Linked DNA regions of Oryzias latipes. The main gene of each other region encodes a partner of the protein of the gene in region 3 in a complex. Links are inferred from orthologs where the notes say so. Each region holds a gene or a part of one and is shown on either strand. Other genes may lie near its edges.

What was found. The genes of interacting proteins can lie anywhere in the genome.
Region 1: the proteins of sf3b3 (region 3) and phf5a are in contact, whole or in part, in a crystal structure (PDB 7B91), measured with the Homo sapiens proteins. The link is inferred for Oryzias latipes from reciprocal best matches to the Homo sapiens genes SF3B3 and PHF5A. Residues at the interface, in NP_036558.3 of Homo sapiens: Gly85, Arg86, Gln104, Glu105, Thr106, Phe107, Gly108, Lys109, Ser110, Leu140, Ile154, Ser155, Ser156, Pro157, Glu159, Ser1162; in NP_116147.1 of Homo sapiens: Gln14, Ala15, Gly16, Val17, Arg44, Asp47, Glu79, Asp81, Arg82, Asp83.
Region 2: sf3b3 (region 3) and WD40 repeat-containing protein SMU1 share a complex: the UniProt entries of both Homo sapiens proteins name them as parts of the spliceosome B complex. The link is inferred for Oryzias latipes from reciprocal best matches to the Homo sapiens genes SF3B3 and SMU1.

Annotation. Positions count from the first base shown.
Region 1 is NC_019877.2:2,093,722-2,097,998, forward strand, and holds phf5a (PHD finger-like domain-containing protein 5A), read right to left. Parts: upstream 3,146-4,277; 5' UTR 3,074-3,145; coding exon 3,022-3,073; intron 2,749-3,021; coding exon 2,725-2,748; intron 1,412-2,724; coding exon 1,245-1,411; intron 1,168-1,244; coding exon 1,078-1,167; 3' UTR 979-1,077; downstream 1-978. Other genes in the region: aco2 (aconitate hydratase, mitochondrial), read left to right, coding at 4,108-4,143.
Region 2 is NC_019868.2:28,087,857-28,092,492, reverse strand, and holds the start of WD40 repeat-containing protein SMU1, read right to left. Parts: upstream 3,279-4,636; 5' UTR 3,184-3,278; coding exon 3,158-3,183; intron 1,476-3,157; coding exon 1,265-1,475; intron 1,112-1,264; coding exon 959-1,111; intron 876-958; coding exon 765-875; intron 1-764. UniProt on the Homo sapiens protein: Involved in pre-mRNA splicing as a component of the spliceosome. Regulates alternative splicing of the HSPG2 pre-mRNA. Required for normal accumulation of IK.
Region 3 is NC_019864.2:25,099,663-25,104,118, reverse strand, and holds part of sf3b3 (splicing factor 3B subunit 3), read right to left. Parts: coding exon 4,398-4,456; intron 3,216-4,397; coding exon 3,043-3,215; intron 2,831-3,042; coding exon 2,689-2,830; intron 2,262-2,688; coding exon 2,149-2,261; intron 1,919-2,148; coding exon 1,781-1,918; intron 634-1,780; coding exon 530-633; intron 438-529; coding exon 272-437; intron 181-271; coding exon 85-180; intron 1-84. UniProt on the Homo sapiens protein: Component of the 17S U2 SnRNP complex of the spliceosome, a large ribonucleoprotein complex that removes introns from transcribed pre-mRNAs.

The DNA.
Region 1 (4,277 bases), on a different chromosome or scaffold from region 3:
GACTCAGCAGTTTAGACCGGAGCAGCTGAGGACGGCGATGGCTGAAGGGAAAGAAAGCTGCGTTTTCTGAGGCTGTGCTTCCATCCGTGTCTCCACTCTGTTTTACACTTTACTCTGTCCAAAGCAAAGATCGATGCTTTCACAGCAAACTTCGTTCGTCTTTTCTTTGAGGCGTTTCCAACAATAAGCTAACTTTTCATAACTAGTTCTGCTTCTCTGGAACAGGTCAGTTTTGTTCTCTTCCTAGTTTTTGTACAGAAACATTTTGTTTTCTGGGTCTGAGTGTACATAAATGTGTAATAAAAACTTCTGAATAAAATGCTGATATTCAAAGGTTTTATGTTTTGGCCCTCAGTTTTTCTGCATAAATTAATCTCTAGACCATTTTATTGTCTGAGGTTTAATACAAACCATAATACTCCCACCACTGTTTTAAATTTGTCCCTTTTTATTAAAGCTAAATAAAAAGTTAAAGGTTTTCCATAGTTGAACTTTTAAGTAATCTTTAAGCAGTTCATCTACAATTACTTTTCTGATTTAAATAAATTCATTTGTATCCTGAAGAACCAGGAATCAGGCTGTCCTGTTTTCAGACGGGAGAAGTCAGAATTATACGTCTTTAAATACATCATTTCCTCACTTTTGATCAGTAAAATGTAGATTTTGTTGGACTCAAATCCCTAATTTTTTAACTGAACTCTCAAATGTTTAGTTTTTTTCTTCCCTGTTGTCTCCATTTCAGGTTAATGTGACGAGAAAAGACAAACCAAAACTTCCAGATCTGAAGCTCCTCAGATCTTTAGGAAAATGTCGAAACTTTTCTTCCATCTAGAAAAGTTTAGGCTGCATTTATACGACCTGGATCTTCCTTGGAACCTAACAGGAACAAGGTTGAATGAGAGAAAAGAGCCTCCATGTATAAACGATAAGAAAAAAACGCTTTAAAACTGGATTATTCAGTCAAACGGCCACAGAGACTGGAGTACAAAAGTGAGTTTTATTCACAAACCAAAACAGTTTTCTTGGAAGTTTGGAAACGAGAAGGAAAGCCTAACAGACGCCGGGGGGGTTTCTTCTTCACCTCTTCTTGAAGCCATACTTCTTCCTCTCGTAGAACAGGTCTGTTTTGGAGCTGCCCAGGTTCACGATTTTCGGACATCCGTCCCGCTGCACAAAAAAAAGATTAAGGGTAAAAACATTGGTTCATTTCAGCGAAGGGCCGATCCTGGAGCCCAGAGACTCACATCTTTCTCCTGAATGGTGCACTCTTTGCAGTAGTACGCATCAGACACTCCGGGGCCTCCGCAGATCACGCAGCGCCCCTGATAGGACCCGTAGTTACACTCGTCACAAATGCGCACCAGCGTGCACGGCCTCACGTACGAATCACAGATGACGCACTTCCCATCGCCTGAAAGGAGCAGATCAGGGACAGTCTGGTTGGTCTCTGCCGTCTTTTAAACATTGTTAAAGTCAGACTTTAAAACAAGTTATTTTTGTAAAAGAAGACGGTCAGACGCTGCATCTCACTTCCTGAGTTTCTGCTGCTAGTTTCTTTGATGAAATGACAGCAAAGAGCTTTACAGATACATCAAATTAAACTTTTTTTTTTTTAAAACTCGAAGCGCTTTAAAATTTAAAACTAAACTCAAGACTTGAAAACAGCTGATCGTTCGTGTTTTTTGATCAAGAACATCTGTGTTGCTCTATATGCAGACAGGAAGGAGATACAATAGAGAGAAGAGGATAAACAGATAAGAATTGGCCAACACAGTTTGTTTACAATAGTTCAGAACTCTGGGTTGATGTTTTTTTTTTTTAAAGCAATATTTGACTGACATAATAACTTTGATGCATCTGTATGAAGGACTTTATCAAACTTCTGTTTTTCGAATCTCATCTTATTGACCAGACTTCCAGACTGGGAATTTAAGACATCTTTAATGTCATATCTATATGTTCCACGGCATCCTTTCCTATTTAGTTTTACAGACTGCTTCATTCTAGATTTTCTATCTAGAAAAAGTGTACTGATTTTCGAGGCAGGAATTCAAATGCTTCAGTCAGAAAGCAGGCCCAAACCACAATAAACTTCCACCGTGCTTAAAGTCCCACTCTGATCCTCTATTGAAATATTTTCATAACGTTTCCAAAAGCTGTGTCGTTTCTCCAAAGCGGCAGGAGTTTATTAGAAATACACCTATGAGTTGTGGGCAGATTGGTAGCGTGGAGCATGCCCGTCCCCCCTTCCCATCACCCATCTGTTTGTGTGCACTCACGCTACCTTTACAGCCCCTCACACCTCCAAACCTAACTGTATCGGTTTTGTTTCCAACAAACGGAAAAAAAACCTCTGTGGAATTCAATGGACTTTTTCTTCACTCTGCTTTATGTTCCCACTTAAAGTACTAAGTACAAATGAGTTTAGACTCCATTCACATTGAAAGCTTCTTGTTTTAAATTCTAGAAATGGAAAAGTTTTGGATTGTAGTATTTTTTCCTAGACTAGAGAGGGCTTTTATTCTGAAAATAATTCTCACATTAAACATTAAAGGCCCGTGCAGAAAAAAAAAGAAGAACAAATCAGGGATGGCCGCACGCAAAGAATCACTTTATAATATGTTTTTTTTTTTTTTGTTATTTATAAATATTACCTATAAAATGATATCTACATGCACTCTTTCTTTGAACGTTTGATAGCATTAAACAATTAAAAAAACTTACATTTTTCGCAAAGTCTCCCGATAGCTGGTGATGAAAACAGATACAGTTAATAAGGTAATTTACACAGTTTGGGATTAATATTTTAAATAATTAAATAGAAAAAACTAGGTATTTAGACATGTCGACTCCAAACACAAAACTAGGCTAACACGACCATGCTAACAGTCTCATTGAAACCCCATGCCATACATGCTAACAAAGCGCTAAACCTTTGAAAGTAAACCACGAATGTGTCAAATTACCTGCGACGAACTTTAAGGTTTCAGACACTAAACAAATAATTACGTAAAAACTTACCAACTCCCGCTTGTTTTCTACAAAAGATCAGATCTGGGTGATGTTTAGCCATGTTAGCTAACGACAACCCAACGCTCCGCTGACTCTTCTTCTTGCGTGTCGGTGGAAGCTAAAAGCAGCTAAATGGCCAATACTGACACCTACTGGACAGAAGCATGTACTATTTTATTTTTTAAATTACAAAATAAAACATAAACACGAGTTATAATATTTAAGATAATGAAAGTAATTAATTTAAGTTTTGAAAATGTAAAAATAAAAAATGTTACCAACATATTTATTTACATTTTTTTTATAAATACTAGATTTAAATAAATACCCTTTTTGCTTTTAAAATAGGCTACATTTCCAATTTTTAAAACCTTTTTATGAAATTTTCTGTTTTAAATTCATTTTTTAAAATGTTTTCTGAAAACCAGAACAATATATAAAATTATGAGAGAGTTACTTTATAAATAAACATGTCAGCTTGAGGAGGAAATTACCTGTTTGAGAACTTTAATTGCAGTTCATCAAATTAAAATTTTCTTGAGTAAAAATGTACTTTGGTGTGCAATGCATACCCTTGCTGAAGAAATAAAATTTTTTCTAACTATTGCGCAACTTTTTTGATGAACAGAAAATCTAGCTTATTTAACTTTGTTCATTAATTTATAAAAATGTTACATTTCCATCATATTTCTATATTTATTTTGTTTAATCAAGCACATATGAATGATTAACAACCATTTTACAAACCTAAACTTTTAGTCCATTGAATTGAAAACATGATGCAAATATCCTGTATGTATGGAAAATTTAATTCAAGCAATGCGTTATTTCTTTTAGATCTGCTGATGTGACGACCAATATTTTTCTTATGAGTCTGATGACACATTTTGTCACATATTGACACAATTTCTTTAATATTTTATTCCATGTAAACATGTACATTTTAGAAAGGAAATAAAATTCAGCTGTATTTCCAGGCTTTTCCACCAGAGGGCAGCAGTAAATACGACACTGGACGAAAAACCAAAGAAGAAGAAAGAAGCTTTTATACATCAGTGACGTCACGGCGATCTCACATCTTTGTCAGTGAACAAAATGGCATCTTACTGTCTCACCGTCGCACGGCTCCAGGTAAGAGCCTAAAAACTGTGATTTTTAAGTGTGAATTTCCCCGCAGCGAAGTGTCGATTTGCATGAAAAGATTTAACATCTCGTGTACAGTTTCCCGGTCTCATTAAAAGACCGAGAGCTAACGGATGAACGCA
Region 2 (4,636 bases), on a different chromosome or scaffold from region 3:
ATGGTTTATTAAAAAATACATTTAAATTCCTTTTTTTTAAAACAAATTTTCAAATGCAATGCATCGTGGTCTATATTCACCGATCTAGTCTGCATCGAGACGTCTGGAAAATTTCTAGGCCACTGGATTTTGGAATTGTAGATTCAGACAGCACTAGAAAATGGTGAACGCACTATGTAGTGAGTAGTGAAGGAATTTGGACAACCGATGGGGCAATATATTTGCTCAAAGAAACGGGAATTAGGACAACAGTGAGGTCCTTCAGTCCAGGACGGCTGCGGGACAGAAGTACATGGAAAATAAAGGAGACACCAGAACACCAAAACTGAGGACACAAAAAACAAACCCAATAGGTGTGAATGATGGGCTATACCCCAAAAAAACACTTCAAAGCATCAGTCAGACACGGTGGTGGCAGTGTGATGGTGTGGGGCTAATTTATATCTGCAGGATTTGTTAGAAAGATCTCGACTAAAAGCAGAAAAGTGATTCAAAAGCACTAAATTGTGTGTCGGGGAGCAGTTACTTTGTCCAAAGAGATTTAGAAAGTTTTTCTAATCCAATAGATTTAAATAAAACAAAACTAGAGAAGAGAAAACGCCTATAGGTTTGTCATTTAGCACACGATTTGACAAATTTCAAGAGTCCTTCAAATATTGCAGCACCAAAGGAACCTCCGGTTTCCTGGGGTATTTTTGTCGTGTGTAAACAGTTGAAGTCTTGTCAGGAAGTGGGCGAAAACAGTTGCTTTTCAGGTTCCTCACCTGTCCCAGCAGAGCCATGAGACGGGATGGAGGCACCACGCTCACTTCTCCGGCCAACGCCTGAGCAATGGCCGCCCGGCGCTTCTCCTTACTGCTGCCGTCAGGATACGCCTGGATAGAGCGCACGGTCCAATCAGTCCCCGGTTACGGACAAACACGAACGCGCTCGCGTTCTTTGAATCTCGCAGCCTCACCTCTCGGGGATCAAAGTAGGAGCGGGCCAGCAGGTTCTCCAGGTGGATGTATCTCTCCGGTTGGGTCTGCTTCAGCATGATCATGGGGTCCGTCTGTCTGAGGAGGGAACGCGCCGCGCCGAGCTCTCTCAGCTCTATCAGCTCCAACACGACCTGAGGAAGGAGCAAGAGGAGACGTGAGAGGAGACCAGGTGAGTCCGAACAGACCTGGTTTCATGAAGTGGATGTTTGGTTCCATCTTAGTGCTCCTTTAGAAAGCAGGATGATATCGAACAGGACAAAGAACTCCACAAACACCAAGCTCACCTGCTCATAGAGGTCGATCAGGGTTTTATCTGGCAGCTTGAGGGACTGGATGGCCTGCAGGACGGTATCCCAGTGTCCGCTGTTGATGTCCGCTACAAAACTCTCGATGCTGTCCACCGTGTTCAGAGACACCGTGGTCTCCTCCTGCAGGGAGGCGAGGGTCCGGTGCAGATTGTTCTCCTTCAAGTACTGCATGATCAGACGGATCACGCTGGGGAAAAGACAAATGGCTGTTCAGTCCCCTCGAAACATCCAGAAACAAAAAAGCAGTTGCTGCCTTCAGGAACTTGCTTGTTCAATGACGCAATCGTCTAGGGATCAAACTTTTACTGCCTAAAACTCCATGAGGAGCAGCTTTTACAGCAGCAAAATATATCTTTGTATTTGAGCAGTTTTTACAAAAACGTCACTATTGGAGCTATGATTTGTTGTCTATGACAGACCATCATAAAAAAACTAAACTTATGAGGATAAAGTTATAAAAAAATTTACAAGAATTCAAGGAGTTTTTATTGCCATTGTCAACAATTGAACAAAGCAGTTTCACAGACTAGGATTTTGCTGCAGTGCCACATAAAACACTTAAAAATAAAAAAATAAACAACAGTAAGAAAAAAAATAACAATGGTCAGAAATATGGGGGGAAAAAGGTCAAAACTTTATGAGAACAAAATTGTAAGTCTATGATTTAACCAGCTCTACGTTGACAAGGTCAAAGTCAGTCATAAAAAAAGTTGTAATTTCATGTAAAGAAAAGGTGTAAATCAATAAAAAAAAAAGCAGATTCATTTAAATTATTCAGCGGTGTGATTTTTCACAATTTAACTACTTTGTTCTTTTAAAATGTTGACATTTTCTCACAATTTAACAACTATTCTCAAAGAATTTGGTAAATTTCTCACATGTTCTACGACATTATTCAACCAGTAATAAAATTTGAACTTTTTCCTGATCATTTTACACTTCTATCTTGTTTCATTTAAACTTTCTATCAATTTTACGCTACACAATTAGTGTAAATTTAGGACTTTATTGAATAGTTTTACGCAACTTCTTTCTTATAATTTATTTTTAGGAAAGTTGGAGTTTATTGTTAAACATTTGTTTATTTTTTATGGTGGCTCTAAAACTTAGTTGTCGTATGACAATAACACAAAATATTTAGACAATTTTACTATAAATGCAGCAGAAAGAAGAAATCTATTAATGAATGAAACTCTCAGACAAATACACAAATAAAACTTTGGTAACTTTTGATTTTGAACATTTATAACTACTGTATAAAAAATAAAGAATAAAAGTTCATGTCACTTGTCAGTGAAATAAATAATATTGATATTCAAATAAAGGAAAAAGTTCCATCTTAAACTCCCTAATGAACGAAACTAGGACTAATAATTAGCCGGACCGTCCATAGTCTGAATAGTTTTAGTTAACAGAAGACGTTTTTTATCATTTTAATTATAAAAGAAAATTATAAAAATCAAATTATACAAACATTTGTGCTGAATAGAGCCTAAATTAAACGTCATCTTCATCCTCGTCCGTGTTGTGCCGACCCTCGCATTAGCATCAAAGTTAGCATTAGCATCGTTAGCTTACGTCAAAAGTACTTTTATTTAATCGTCAAGTTGTAGTTCCTGCTGCCCAAAAGTAGCAATGATAAGTAACGCACATATAAGCACAGTCTGTGCCTTACTGGTGCATTTAGAGAACAAAAAAAATAGTTTAAATGGTCCACATTTACGGTACTTCACGAGGCTAACGACAGTTCACTTTAGTCAGGATGAAACAGGCCTCAGCTACGATACTGCTAGGACATATAGAATTATGAGCCGCTAAATTATGCCAATAATAATTAACACATTAGGAAATTTTAAACAAAATACTCACTCTGCAGATTCCACCTCTATAGACATGATGATTTATCTGAAACCTGCAGCCAGAAACACTCATGCAGCAAAGGAGGAGATACGGAAGTGATGGATGAGGCGACTGCACTTCAAAATAAAAGCCTGAATGGAATTTGTCTTGACAGCTCACAGACACTTCCGGTTCTGAGGCTGTTAGAATACTAAGGACTTTTAAATCCTCATGAACACATTTTAACTCTGTCCTTTAAAAAAACACCAACAGTGTTTAACAAATATCCAATCAAAAATCTTTACGTCTGCAAAATCCAGTCAATTCATATTTTTTATCCTAAATATGTTTGACATATGTATAGAAATACATCTATTCTTTTTGTCTTTATTTTTTTTGTTTGCCTATTCGTTTTCATTGCTTGAAAATAAACCAGTTGATTAGATAAACAACGTTTGATTCTACATTGCAAAAATCTGAACTGTCACACAAAAAGAAGAACATTTGATTTTAGTGCATTGTGTCTTTTTACATCTACCCAAATAAAAAATCACCTTTGGATTGAGCAGCAGAATTGAGGATAGACTCTCAGAGAAAAAGCCAAAAGTCTTGAGTTATCTCTTATTTTGTTGTTGGCTCTTGTTTGATTGATACATCTGCTGCAGTGGTCGGTTTGTGTTGCTCTTCTTTTGAGGTGAGCTCTAGCTCATCCACAAACCGAAAGCCAAGTTTCACACAGAAAGGAGTCAAAGATGGAGATGAACCCCAGAATGACAACTACTACAAATCCTAAGGTTTGCAGAACAACCCCTGAAAAGTGCTCACACTTCTCTAAACGCTTTCAGCAGTGAAGTGCCCTGGAACCTGGAATCAAAATAAAGTCTACGTTCAGAATGCTGCAGGGTAACATCTTTGGGCAGAGGCAGTATGATGGTATGGGGCTGCCTCATAGCAAAAAAGCAAGACTTTTTATCATCAGAGAAATTATTTTTAGCCTTTCAGCCATTACAAATGTTTTTAAAAATAATGAGGCTCCAGTTTGTTAAAATAACCTCTTCTTCTAGATTTAAATCCACCAAATAAGAGGGAACTACACACAGGGTCACCGCTGGTCTTGGAAATGCAGAATCATCATAAAGTAATATTTTTTAAAAAAAAGTGATAAAAGATTCATTACTTTTAATAAAAAAAATGTTACAACACATAAATACTAGCAAAACATTTCACTGCTCTTTGTGTGAAACATTAATTAACATTTATAAAACTGACAGTAAGGGTGAAGAGGAAACTCTTACAATAGGTTATAAAAAAGTGCAAAACCTAAAAAGTTTTGATGAAAGTAAATATTTAGAACAAAAAAAGACTTAAAAAGTTTAATTAATATTTTACCCAATTTTCAATGTTTGTTTGGTGTCAGTAAATATTTATGTCATATCAAATCACACTTTCAAATGGATTTCATTCCGATATTCCTCTTTACATTCACCATGCTTAGCTCTAATCCCCCAC
Region 3 (4,456 bases):
ATGACAATGTCATCACTTGATCAGCAGGAAGACTGTGTGAATTTTCTAATTCTACATAAATATTATATATACAAAAAGAAATACCTCCAGTCCATGCCGAAGAACTCTCAGAGTTGACTTGGGACCTCGTCCGCAGGCGACATACAGCTGAGGAGTGTCTTCATTTGCCAAATCAGCAATCTAACGAGCAGCATAAAGAAAAGAAAAGTTTCTATTGTTCTCTTTTAAACTCCATTTACCCCAAATCAGCTTTGAAAGTGCAAGAACTCACTTGACAGGACATGATGGGTGACATGTTCTCTTGTTCATCCACCAGCACCAGGTTTTTGAGCGGCCGAGGCTGGAAGAAGAAAGTGTCTCCCTCCTCCAACGGCATGGCAGAGGAAAACTCGGGCTCTTCATCGTCGTCACCCAAGTGAGCGATCTGATAAAGGTAACTGCAGGAAAAGGCAGCAGAGTGACGAGCGCTCAGTACACAGAACAAGCTAACCTAGACCAGCCTAAAGGAAGAGTGGTGAGCGAAACTTACTGGTTTCCAAACTCTGATGCCACAAACAGGAAGCCAGTCTTCAGGACACACATGGCTGTTGCTACAGGAATCGTGTCGAAATACTTTAGCCTGATTTCTGTGACCTGAAACAACAGTCATCACTCATGTGTGATTGTGTTCTAAACTAGAAAGCTTCCTCTGTAAAGCAGACGTGTAAGTGGGAACTGATGACAGTCATTGGCTACTGAAAATAACACAAAAAAGCCAAACGTCTTAAAACAAAATTTTAAAACTGCATTGCATTGTTAAATTGCCTTCATGATGGCTGTGGTACAGACGAGAGCAATCAACCGCTGATTGACTGCCCATGTGTCGAACTGTCCTTGAGCAAGACGGTGAGCCCCACATTGGTGGTTACAAGGGTCTTGTACGGCAGGAGAGCTGCCATCAATCAGTGTGTGAATGTGTGTGTGTGCATGGATGAATGGGAGTGTGTGAATGTGTGTGTGCATGGATGATGGGACTGGGACTGTAAAACGTTTTGGGACTTAATAAAGGCAGAAAGCTTATATATACCGTACTAATAGTGTTCCCTCGTTTACTGCAGGAGTTATATTCAAAGTAAATAACTTGCAATAGTTGAAATCCACAAAAAGGTGTTTTTTTTAGAATCTAGAATAATTTAGTTTTGAAGCTGTAAAACTCCTCAATACACACTTTATCCACTTTTTACAGACAGAAAAGAAAAATAAGTCCAGTATTATAGATTAAAAACAAAGATTTAAGCGCAACTGAGGGTTTATGTACTTTGAAAAACTGAATGTATTCTGTACAGAAAACACTTGATTGATAACTGTCTACAGCCAATCAGGATGCAGAACACCATGGGCTGTAAAAATAAAAGTTGCAAAACTGCAAGGCCATGAAAAATGAACCACTTTGTAGTTATGAACCACTGTATAGGACATTTTCATCATTCAGAGATGCAGCCTGTCCTTCCTGCATGTTCTCCATAGATCACGAACTAATAAGAAAAACGACTTCAGAGTGATGCCGTGCCTATGTGCCCTCATGAAGAACTTCACTCTCATCAATAAACGCATCTGAAAAACACGCCTTCACAAAAGTCAGGCGATACATTTTACAAAACTGGTGGTTGATATTGTTTGCCACCCTCTAAAAAATTAAAAGAATATCAGCCCTTATGTCTGCAACATTTTTCTTTTCCCAATTTTAATAAAGATCAGGCTACATTTAACAGCCAATCAGCTAGTTTCTGCATGCACGCACCATTTCTTCGTCCGTTTCCAGTGTGACCTTGAAGATGTCTCCCTGCTCCGTCTGAGCCAGGAAAAAGAACATAGACTTGGTCTTGTGGGTGGCTGAGCACACAAAGATCATGCCGCGCTCTGGGTCATCCAGGTCGTTCTGTGGGACGGACAGAAGAGAGCATGAGGGACGACAGACAGCAAAATGAAAATAAACATGCAGGCTGAACTGAAATGGCAGATAGAAAATAGAGTGAGTGACTTGCAAAAGGTTTCCACATAAACAAAAAAATCTGCTTCTATTTGTAGCTATGTGAAGTCGCTCTCAGACTGAAATATGTCCTTTTTTTTGTCTTTGAAAAATGTTGTTGGTTTTTTGCTTGGACTCACCCTGCGGCGGGGAATGGGACAGCGGATGTCTGGCTGGTCTCCAAAGTTCTTGTAGGTGATGTAGTTTTCAGAGCAGATCAGAACTCCACTAGGTCCATCTGAACCCCCCGGAACTACAGAGAAGAAGTTTCTTCTTCAGTCATGATAGGAAACAGGAAGGATTATTGATCCAAGACTGATTATTTTTGTGCCGATAAGATTCATATAGTCAAGAAATGTTATTCTTTTGCCAACATTTTATGGGAAGACAAGTCTGGTTTACCAGCCAAGCACGCACAAAACCAAGTGCAGATGATGGATTACCACGAGAACTGGGACTTCAAGAGAAAATTCACCTCTGAGCTGCCAGGGTGAAGTTACGGTTTCGGATGTGATGACAGCATCTCCCAAAGAAGCTCAACAGAAACAGTCTTTCTTACCACCTTACCTATCAGCGTTGTGACAGAACTTTTTTTTTTTTTCAAAATGGTTCAACTTTACTCATAAACGAAAAACAAACTGCGTCTTAATGAAAAACTTCATATGGATTTGAATAATTACCAGTGATGAGGAAATTTCCGTGTTCCTCCAAAGCCTCGCTGTATTTTCGCACCACGTGGTTAAGGCCGAGGTCCAGCTCATAGAAGGTGAGAGTCTGCTGGGTGTTTGCAGCAGCTTCTCCTGTTGGGTCGTTGTCCGCCTCCTGCAAAGAACGCAAGGTTATTTAGAGCCCGTTATTACATTTTAAAACCTGTTTGTTATGATCAACCTTTTGGACAAACTGAGATCAGAAATCAAATCTTTCTCCAGTAACAGTCAGAGAAGAGACATGGAAAATTCATCACACTCAAAACAGCCCAAGCCTTAGTTATATAAAAGAAAGAAAAAAACTATTTGATTTTTACACTTACTCACCTCATAATCCATTTCTAAGCAAGCAAACATGGGATTTTCAAAGCCAACGTCGACTCCAACAACATGGTAGACCAGAGTGTTGGCTTTATGAGCTTCCAGAGGAGAGGAGATGGTGAGTCTGGCTGCAGCGTCTCTGTTCAGAATATAAACCAGCTTCTGTTTCTCTATGGCCCCTGAGGAGCAGAGCAAAACACATCCAGAAACAGATTTACAATGTTAGAATAAAGTTAGCAAGAATTCCCTCTTTCCCTTGGGGGATTCTGACACTTGGACTGATGCTAACAGTTGTGACACATTGAGTTAAAAAAACCATTGCTAGGATCCTTCACAACTGCAGTTCATGCAATCTGACAACCAGGTAGTAACTGCTCCATAAGGATCAAGAGTGCCGGTTAACTCAGGATTTCACACAAACATCTGATATTAAACCAAGTCACCTAAAAGATACAGATGAGATACAGATTTTTCCGTTTCATCCCCTGCATGTTAAAAAAACGGACATTTAACTCTTAGAAGATTCAAAATGTAAACATATTAGCCTCCTTATTGTGACTTTTTCATAAATTGGTAAATTTTCCCTATTAAAAAAAGATAAATTGAAATTTCTTTAAAAACATTCTAAAATAATTGAAATTTAAGACAAAATTTATCAAAATATACAGAGAAGAAAAATGTCCTGCTCAAGGTTTTTTAGTCAGAATTAAAAAAAAAAACACTAGAAGGGGTTTTAATTATTTAGCAGTAAAAACAAATGGTAAATGGCGTATAATTATATAGCAGTTTCTACCCTCTTTCGAAGGCCCAAAGCGCTTTACAGTCTCAGTCCCATTCACCCATGCACACACGCATTCACACACTGATGGCGGCTCTGCTGCCGAACACTGGCGCGAACCTCCCACCTCCCAACCCAGGCGGGGTTCAGTGTCTTGCCCAAGGACACTTCGACACATGGCCGTGCAAGGCGGGAATCGAACCCGCAATCATACGATCATGGGTCGACCGCCCTACCGCTGCACCACGGCCGCGGGTAACAAAGCAAATTTCTAGAGGAATGTGTTTTTCAACTATGTTTGCAACCTTCTGTTCAGTTTCAATCGATCATTACAGAGAACCTGCTTCATTGAAAAAGTTGCACAAATTCATTTTAAATTAATTAAACAGCAGAGAGAAAACCAAAAATATCTCTCATTTCAATATCTCTCATTACTTCAAATGTATGAAATCTTCACTTTAATTGATCTTTTGCACTCTGTGTGTTTGCTACTCTTTGAAAATTACACATGGAACCATTTGAAATTGTGAAGAAGAGAATACTGAAAGAATGCGCATTTAAAGGACACGCTAAGAACTCTCACCTATCATGACAGCTCTGCCTTTAGGGTCTACAGCCAGGTATTGTCCCGGGACGATCCGT